3 linked regions of the Solanum lycopersicum genome follow. The protein of the gene in region 1 binds, or shares a complex with, the protein of each later gene. Links are inferred from orthologs where the notes say so. Each region holds a gene or a part of one and is shown on either strand. Other genes may lie near its edges. The genes, in order: suppressor of mec-8 and unc-52 protein homolog 2, putative serine/arginine-rich splicing factor and serine/arginine-rich splicing factor SR45a.

Region 1 (2,334 bases):
TTAATCTAAGCAACATAGATTGTCAAGATGTATTATGTAATGACATTACATTAAAAGTCACTCTCTTACAACTCAACACCTTCCACCATCTCCTAATGTGAAAGGAGGTAGTATTACTATTCTATCCATCTCCTAATGCATGTCAAAATTAGATAAAAGTATTACTCTTCTATCCATCTCCTAATGCATGTCAAAATTAGATAAAAGTATTACTATTCTATCCATCTCCTAATGCATGTCAAAATTAGATGAAAGTATTACTATTCTATCCATCTCCTAATGCATGTCAAAATTAGATAAAATTTAAACCATGCATGTACAAATGTAGCAAGAAATTTTTTAAAACAACATAAATTTCAAAATCAAGGAAATCTAGAGCTGAAAACCTAAACACTATCAAACTTACGACTTCATTTGCCTCACATAACTGTAAACCTCAACTCTCACTTCTAATAAGGATAAGGAAGTAATAATACATTCATTCACTAATAACTAGTCTCTACATTAATAATATTGATATACTCTAATCAACTACAAACAACCCCTTATATTTTACAAAAATTAACTTGTATAATTAGAATCCACTTCAATCATCATAAAAAATTTCCATATATGTTATAGTATTTTATAAAATAACATTTATATTTCAGATTTAAAATAAATAAAGCGATACGTGTTTATACTAGCACGATATTCTGAACACTAAATCAAGACACGATATTCTGAACACTAAATCAAGACATAGTACTAATTCAAATTCAAGATATTCTGAACAGTAAAATGTAGAGGAAGATCTAAAAAAACAAAAAGATCAAAGTTTTATCTGTCTGTTTGTTCATACACGCTGCTTCTTTCCAGGTTGTATTTCACCGTCTTCAAGTGCTTCACCTTTGTCTTTCTCCATCTTCTTTCTGGTGAGTATTTTGTTTATCTTATGCAGCTCATTCGTAAGCTTCTGGTCTTTGTTTTGTTTCCTCGTCTTCCTACCATCCTGCATCTTCACTCCAAACTGGAATGCAGCTTTCGGCATTGCTTCCTTCTGCTCATTGTATGTCGCCCACTCCTCTTCTGTCTCAAAGTCCCAACGATGAAGCCTTCCCTTTGCCTACAATGCATCACAACATCAAAGAAAAATTAGAGTTGTATCTTCGTACAATTTTAAAAAATGTAATTATTTTCAGTTATGTGAGGCAATTGAAGTTTCCTTTACAGGGACCAACATTTTGTAGGTTTCAAAAGTACGGGGGAAGGGGTGAACTAAGAAATGGCATAATCTTCAGCAAGAACAGAGTATCACTTACGCGTCCACCCATGTCCATTTTTGACAAATCAGCTTCATCATCACTGTCAACAACCTCACGATTGTACTCTTGGTAACCAGGATAGCACTCCGAATAGCTTTCAGAAATAAAGTTAGGATCCTTCTCTCTGGCATCTCTCTCTCTCAATTGCAGAAGCCTCTGATCATCCCTCTTGAACACTGACCCTAGGCCTCTATCCTTTTCTTCTTGAGTCATAAACTGTGGATCCTGAAGACCGTCAACATCAGCTTGCATATCATAATTCTGCTGGAGATATTGCTCAGGATAAGCCACCTGTTCAGGATACTGATAATCTTGCCACTCTGGTTGGTAAACACCAGCTACCGCTTGTGCTTGCGCTGCATCATATCCATTCTGGACAGATCAAACATATTCAACAATCAAAAGATGAGTAATAGTTGCAACACATAGTAAAATCTAATTAAGGGAGTAAATAAAGTAAAGTCGACAAATACGATGGAGGGCATCCAATTTCTTCCTTTCTTCGTATAAATGTAGGAAAAAGAATCTAGGCAGATTTTGTCATAAAATATTGTTAAGCATTTTAAACAGGAATGATCTAATGCCTTACAACTCAAAACTGACTCACCGTGTATTGCCAATCATGAGAAGGCTCAGATGGAGGTACTGGGCCATAGGCAGGTTCACTGAAATATGAGGTTCTCTCTTTGTTTCGAGGAGATTCTTCCATGTCCTCCGATACAGGGCTTTGACCCATATCTCCAGCAGGAACGGAGTAGTCAACGCCTTCCCCTATGAAGATATCTTCTTCTTCAGGTCTAGCAACAACAGGTCCCTGAACCTCTCTTCTTTCTGAATGGTTCTTTTTAGGAAGTTGTGCAGATGGATGCACAGTTTCTTTATCAATTTGGCTCTTTGATGCATCCGACTTCAATACTTCGTCATAACCATTGGATATAACTGTCTTCCCTGTACAATATTGAAAACTTGTGTCAGAACACAGAACAAGGATATAGAAGTGCAGCTCCTTATCAATGAAGAGAAGAGATAA
Region 2 (3,706 bases), on another chromosome or scaffold:
AACATTATTTTTTGTCTTCAAATTCTGAGGCGATGTTTGTCTTGGAATAGTACTTTTTGTTAAAATAGAACTTATTTTAAAATAGAGAAAGTTTATTTCTAAACATAGTTAGTCCTTGATTGTTTGCTAAAATTGATACTTGAAAAACGATTATTCTCTCTATTACAAAAAAAAAAAAAATCTACTTTCCTCCTAAGCCTGTTTAAAAAAAACACACTTTTTTTTAATAAAATTTTAATTTCAATCCTCCACATGACAGGTTTAAGTTACATGATTAAAAAACATTTTTGTATATTTGACATAATTTTAATTTAGAACCAGAAGATTCAAAAATTTCTTTATTTTCTTAAATGTCGTGCCAAATCAAACTAGGTCGGGAGTACTATTCTTCTGTGACTTCCTTTTAAAAATAAGTTTCTTATCAAAAGGAAAACGATCATCTAGTGATTCACCCATCTTACAACCTTTAAAGAGTTGTTAATGACTTTAGAATGGATTCCAAAATTCATTTATATAAACTAAAAGATTTGAGCAAAAACTACACAGATATCAGAGGCACAAGGATAGTTACATGAGAAAAGAGGACAAGTAGCAACATTGCTTTAAGTCCATTGTAACTTCATATATAGAGAACAAGTAGCACATAAACAGAAATAACCAAATTCAACCCACGACTCAGCTATATATTACAATAGTCCATAGGTCTAGAGTGACATGATGGACAAAAAGAAACAAAACATAAATATAACAGATGTAACAATCTATTATAGTTTGCATGTGTCCAATCATCTAGACCAAGATATTCCCAAGACCTCCAAAAAAGATCAGCAGATGGTGATAACAATGAGCAAACCGTCAACGACTGCAAGGAGGGATGGTAAAAAAGAACAATTTAGTCAAATTAATCAAGGGGAGATCACCAATAGAACCAGGTTAGTAGCATATCACAAATACTATACGACAAAGCTCGTCACCAGCAGTAGTATGCAACTTTTCCAATCAAATCCAAGAGAACATAATGACTCGAAAAATTAAATGTCAAGTCAAGGCAACAGCTCAACCACCAACTATCTACATCAAAAGGGTGGGATTCGATGCAGAGCATCGTGGTGTTTCCACGATGTTCCTCGGGATCCACTAAAAGGATAGGTGTATGTGAATATGAAGGAGGAAAAAATGTAACAGAGTACAGAAATATCGAAAAGACATGATTTCAATCGACAGAGTTGATTTCAAAAATTCCTATTCAAACTTCACAAAATTGACATCTTCACAAACCTGTAGGACCTAGACGGAGATCTGGCTGAACTACCTCCATTTCTTCCAGGACTCTTGAGCCTCCTTGGGGTGGAGTCCACATCATGAGCAATCTGACTATTATCTCTTGGAGTCATGCTGATGAACCTGCCTTTTTTCTGAATGCATGGAGAATTTGACCTTGACATTGGTCTTGATTGTCTTGAAGATCTTCCTTTAGACCTACAATTTCTGTCATCCCTTGGAGAAATAGACCGAGACTGTGACCTGGATCTCCTTGGCGAGTAGTAATCATCATCATGATTCTTCTCATGATCCCTGTCCCTGTGAACAATAGTGTAATTAAGCCACTTAATAAAAAGTGCAATGCAATGTAGTTTTTGCAATAGATATTGCTGCTGAAAGCAGTGCAAACAAGTAGAAACTAGCTCTGGTCATCAAATGACTGCTATACCAACTCACAAAATAAAGTTGACATTTAACAAAACCACAAAGGTAGATTCATTCAATATCTTATCTACTAAACCAAAACCTTTACCTGTATCCTCATTTCATTGTCTGGAAAAAACTACAGTTTAATCCAGACACTGTTTAAGCACACTATATGATACAGTTCTTCAGCATCTGATCACTTCAAAGCTCTCCTTTGCCCAACTTTAAAAATCTCGAGATATCTTTCCTCAAGCATTCTCACCAAATGTCAATGACTAAAAGCTTCGAAAATTATTGCCACTTTGAAGATGATTTCTTTTGCCAACTATAAGCTCTAAATTATCTCCCTAACTGGACATTGTGCATTGTTTAGAAATTAAACATGAATTTTAAGATAAGCAAATGAAGGCCTTTTGTGATTGTAATATGTCCAGACCACTTCAATTGGTTCTCCATGGTACAGTAGAAAGCTCATCCCTTACTAGAAAAAAATCCACAAAAGGAAAATCACATGAACTTTGATGATGGTGATTTGGAACTTCTGGAGATTCATCACATTTCATGAGCAAGAGTCTTTGACTTTATGGTGATATGGTCCCTTTTCTCAATTGTCTTTATTAGTCCAGAATTCTTTAAGTCTCTTTCTCAATTTAGCATCTGCATTAATAAAGCCACCAGCAGATGTCATTCAAAAATCTACAGGATAGATGAATTATGCCTGCTAGAAATTTGACACAATCTCAAGATAATAGTGTGAGTATTCAACAAATTAGAAAGCCAACGAGCCTAAAAAGCTTCCAGCCAAAGGGACTGAGAAAGCCTCGGCATTCAAAGTACACAAGATAACAGACAAATAACTAAAGAAAAGATCAATTCCTAAAATCAAGTGGATATAGTGATGCTACCACCACTTCACCAAATAAACCATCCTACTTCACTCTCCTACGTTCCGAACCGCCAAAGAGGAAGAACAAGCATAAAACCATCAGATACCAACTGAGTTTTTGGAAATGGTACAAAATTGGGGAAGATCCACCAATGTCAATTATCTCTCCTTTCTACTAACTCCCAACTTAGGAACTATATGTACCAAAAGAAAGGTTAAAATGTATAAAAGTATATTAGCATTACAAAATAACAGAAAGAAAAAGAGATAAATAGCACCCAATTACAGAGCATCTTAAATATACAAGGCATACAACTGCAATTTATAAAAAAGAAGTTTTGACTAAGGGCATGCACCATAATACAGCAAGAGACGCAAGCAGATCAATGTGCTAAGTCTCTCTTCAGAAAAATATTTATCTAAATGTAGGAAAAGGGACTAATTTTGTCTTGATAGTTGAACTTATGCATAGTAGGGCAACAAATTTGTTGCTGATACGACTACAGGCTTCACATTTCTTACATTCCAATAGATATTCTTCTTAAATTTTGTCCCATTAGAATCAGTTACAGTCCTTACTTTCAATACAAGTAAATAATACTAGAACAACAAGCAAAATTTCTGTTATGAAACACAGACCTTGAGTCACGTCTTGCTGGAGAAGCCGAGCGCGAGTAAGCTGCCATAGAAATTCTAAACCATTAATCTTTAGAGGAAAAAAAAACTTTTGACTCTAACACTTGTTCTTAAGAAACTAAACAACTATTATAAAGAAGTGTGAGTTGAAATTCTAACTGACAGTGATATCTACGACTTGGTGAACTGTGTCTCCAGTAGCTGCCTCGAGCACTAGGTCCACTAGTTAAACAGGAAAAGTAGTAGACTTAGATTCAGTGAAGTGGGTGAATAACACTTGAGCTGGAAAAGAGATTGATAATCAACATGGTTGCAACTTGAAGCAAACCACATATATGCACCTTGTGCTTAAGACCTTGCGCATTTCTCGAGGGGTCTTTCGATTATCCTCAGCAAAAACAATCCTAATATCACGTCCACCAATAACTGTATTGTTCAAGTGTGCTTTTGCTTCAGCTGCATCTTCGGCATAACGGAACTTCACAAAGCCAAATC
Region 3 (3,760 bases), on another chromosome or scaffold:
TGGCTTTCAGGAGAGTAGTCACGGTAGCGGCTTCTTCTATAGTAACGGTCATCTGGAGAATAGGAACGATCACGCCGATGATTGTCGGGAGAATAGTCATGGTAACGGCTCCTTCTGTAATAACAGTCATCTGGAGAGTAGGACCGATCACGCCCATTATATGGGGATAAAGATCGAGAGTAAGATCTTCCACGACTATAGTAAGGAGAATAAGGTGATTCTGAGTAGCAGTGGTGCCGACTGTAATACGATGAGTGAGATCTCTGGCGTCCTCTGTAATAAGAGTATGATCTATGCTCTTGTCGGTAATATGGAGAGTAAGACCTGCTCCTGCTCCTGTAGCTTTCAGATGAGTAACAAGGAGAGTGATTCCTTGAATAATGAGGATAAGTTCGTGATTCACGACGAACTACATTTACAAGGTGGAAATTAGAAGACATCACAGACAAATAACCCAGGTCAATTATTGCTTAGGAAAGGATACAATATCATACCGCGAACAGTTCTAAGCCCCAAATATTTTCCTGGAGTAGGTGTTCTACCTCTTCTCCTCCTGGCCTGCATAGGATACAATTGTCAGACAGCAAATCTAGACTCTGGCAGGTTGATGCAATATAACAATATCACGATATAAGTAACCAATAGAAAATGAACAATAGCAACAAGGGCGCAGCTGAATAAAGAAAAATGAAGGCTACAACCCTCTGGTTGACAGTCTGTTTGCTTGATGTGTTTTGATTTGTTATTTGGACTTTGGTGAAGAGCTGCTACACACAGCTACCTTGCTGCCAAAGAAACTCAGGCGAAACAAGCAAACAACTTTCAAACTGATCAAATTACTGAAGCAAATATAAGATATTGATACAACTGAGAGCTGATACCAGCGAAAATTGCAAACATAAGATTCAACAAAACTGAGCAAATATTCAATAAATTCTACCTTCTCCACGGTGATAACTCTGCCTTCAAGTATTGAGCGATTCAGAGACTTGATGCAGCGATCAGCCTCCTCAACGCTGGACATCGTCACGAAACCAAACCCACGAGATTCGTGGGTCCATGGGTCTAAAACAAGACGAACATCTTCAACCTAACCAGAGAAAAAAGCATTTAATGAGGTTGATATCCTCGACAATGTGAACGCACATGGGAGCAAATCCTACGGAGTTCTTTTCTTTTGAATAAAGTGCAAAAGACCTAAATGAACTGACTACAGAGAACGGGAAGGCAATCTGAAGAAGCAACAAACATACCTTCCCCTCAGCAGAAAAATGCTTCTCAATATCTCGCTCCTTAACGCGGGTTGAGAGACCAGTCACATACAAATTGTTCCCTGGGTTCTCAACATCACTTGAATCACAGCTCCTGCCATTATAATAAAGTTAAATAACATGAACTCTAATTACCACCATATTAATAGAACATTGCCAACATGTACCTTGACCGACTCCTTGAAACACATCTGGACCTTGAGACAGACTTGCTATATCGATCGTATGAAGGTGAGCGAGAATACCTGCAATATAAATGTCATATTGAACATGACTAGGAATAATGACCATATAAAACCCATATTAAGACCAACAATACCTTGACCTCCTGGAGTACGACATCTGCAGTTAACATCAAACAGAATGGTAAGCTTAGGCTAATAATATTGAGAAGAAAGACGATAAAACAGGGTGTTTTATCACAAACCCAGCAGATATATAGTAAGTAAAACCATCAAATCAAGATCACTGATTTGTCAAACAATACAAAACTAACCGATGCAGACAATATAATTCCTCTAAATCGACTCTGCCTCACTCTGTCTACTCCGTTTCAATAACGGAACATCAATTTATCTTTTGATTTAAATTAAAGGTTTCCTAATTCCCATCTTATATTCTCCTCTATTACTTTACCTTTTAGCTTCTAGAATCCCAGCAATCATAAAAGTAGAAAGTAAAGTTCTCCTTGGTGATTAAAGGATAACAAACTATGCGATAGGATCATAGTTTGAAATTTGTCAAACCAAGCAGACAACAACAATTAGCTACTGATAAAAATAGAGGCGGATCAAGTACTTAAAACTTTTATATAAGGATAATAGAACTGAACCAATTCCACTTTTATGCTTTAATTCTGACTTTAAATCTATAACACTGGTAACGCTTTACACATCTATATATATTTATGCTCCCGTGGATGTACTGGAATTCAAAAGGATCAGTGTGAAAAGCATTAATTGCTATATGTCAAAACAACAAAATCACAAATCAACTCAAAGACAAAAATACACAATAAACCAAAAATCGACCGAGACTGTTTAGTTCTCTATGTTCTGGGCAAAAAATGAACGGAAGAATCATCTAATCCGCTTAGGTAATAGAAAATTCAATTTGAATCAAACGTTGATGCCGATCACAAACGCAAATGACATACAATCTCATCAGCTTTTTAGCTAATTCGTATCGAAGAAAGGAATTAAGAGATGGAAAAAGAAGACTCACCGTGAAGAGATTATGGTAGCGTAGGATCGAAATACTTCTCTTTCTCTCTCTAATTTGCGAAGGCTCTCGAAATAAAATGACTCGGTTGGGAAAGGCTTTCTACTATATACCTGTAGCGTAAAGAAGTTTCTAGATGAGGGACACGAAATCCTTTTTGATTGGACTTGAATTTGTCACATTATTCTACCAAACCAAAAAAAAAAAAAATTGTTTCTATCCATATTTAAATGGAGAAATTTTCGTATATAGTCATTTAAAATAGCTAATTACTCTCTATAACTATAGTTTAATAATTATAATTCGTAACTATGTGTTATATGGAGGAGAGAAACAAGCGAGACCGGAGGAGAGAAACAAGCGAGACCGGGAGAGAGTGAGAGAAAGGTGAAATATACATGTATATCATTTAGTAATTGTATATTATACATATGTATTTGTATATATGGCAAAGTGAGAGAATGAGAAGAAAGAGAGAAGCGAGCGAGACTAGGAGAGGAAGGAGAGAGGCGAGCGAGACAGGGCAGAGAGTGGGAGAGAGGTGAATTGTATGTGTGTGTAAATGTATGCTATACATATACATTTGTATATAGGGCAAGCGAGATTGGAAAAGGGAGGAGAGAGGTGAGGGAGATTGGGAGAGTGAGGAGAGAGGCGAGCGAGAGGGGAGAGAGGTGAATTGTATATATATAGGTTGAATAATTATATATTATACATATGTATTTGTATATTCTGGCGAATTATACATATACAAACGTGACTATTATACAAACTCAAAATTAGTTCACGTAATTAATGTATAATATTAATTACGAGTGATAATTATAGTAAATTATAACTATGATAAGTAATTTTAATAGTATAAATCTATTTTGTTGCGTAATTTTTTCTATTTGAATATGAGAGATTAAAACCCAAGGCCTTTCTCGAAGCAGGCCCAATTGATTTATGGGCTCAAGTAGCCCAAAATCAAAATAATGGCGGGAACTTATTTTATTTTCTGACAATTCATTTCCCGCCAATAGGGAGCCCTATATTCTCGAGCACACTTTTCCAGCAGCTATATAAACCCTAACCCCATTACTCCACTCATTTTCGCTCTATTTTTCATTCAGACACCTCTGTTTTCCCTCCTTCCCCATTTCAAAACCCTAACCCTAGTTTCCCGCAGAGGACAAAATGTTGGAACTACGTCTTGTTCAGGGAAGTCTGCTGAAGAAAGTTCTAGAATCGATTAAGGATCTGGTGAACGATGCGAACTTTGATTG

Evidence for each region.
Region 2: suppressor of mec-8 and unc-52 protein homolog 2 (region 1) and putative serine/arginine-rich splicing factor share a complex: the UniProt entries of both Arabidopsis thaliana proteins name them as parts of the spliceosome. The link is inferred for Solanum lycopersicum from reciprocal best matches to the Arabidopsis thaliana genes SMU2 and SCL28.
Region 3: suppressor of mec-8 and unc-52 protein homolog 2 (region 1) and serine/arginine-rich splicing factor SR45a share a complex: the UniProt entries of both Arabidopsis thaliana proteins name them as parts of the spliceosome. The link is inferred for Solanum lycopersicum from reciprocal best matches to the Arabidopsis thaliana genes SMU2 and SR45a.

What each region holds. Positions count from the first base shown.
Region 1 is NC_090806.1:9,689,451-9,691,784, reverse strand, and holds the end of suppressor of mec-8 and unc-52 protein homolog 2, read right to left. Parts: intron 2,253-2,334; coding exon 1,912-2,252; intron 1,677-1,911; coding exon 1,302-1,676; intron 1,106-1,301; coding exon 836-1,105; 3' UTR 624-835; downstream 1-623. UniProt on the Arabidopsis thaliana protein: Auxiliary spliceosomal protein involved in splicing of specific pre-mRNAs that affect multiple aspects of development.
Region 2 is NC_090800.1:76,022,212-76,025,917, forward strand, and holds the end of putative serine/arginine-rich splicing factor, read right to left. Parts: coding exon 3,553-3,706; intron 3,434-3,552; coding exon 3,375-3,433; intron 3,255-3,374; coding exon 3,215-3,254; intron 2,347-3,214; exon of another isoform or gene 1,796-2,346; intron 1,582-1,795; coding exon 1,279-1,581; intron 863-1,278; coding exon 856-862; 3' UTR 598-855; downstream 1-597. UniProt on the Arabidopsis thaliana protein: Involved in intron recognition and spliceosome assembly. Probably active at the 5' splice sites.
Region 3 is NC_090805.1:50,114,507-50,118,266, reverse strand, and holds the start of serine/arginine-rich splicing factor SR45a, read right to left. Parts: upstream 2,619-3,760; 5' UTR 2,496-2,618; intron 1,614-2,495; coding exon 1,591-1,613; intron 1,517-1,590; coding exon 1,439-1,516; intron 1,366-1,438; coding exon 1,254-1,365; intron 1,091-1,253; coding exon 941-1,090; intron 559-940; coding exon 495-558; intron 410-494; coding exon 1-409. Other genes in the region: PCNA (proliferating cell nuclear antigen), read left to right, coding at 3,672-3,760. UniProt on the Arabidopsis thaliana protein: Probable splicing factor involved in constitutive and/or alternative splicing events. May bridge the 5' and 3' components of the spliceosome.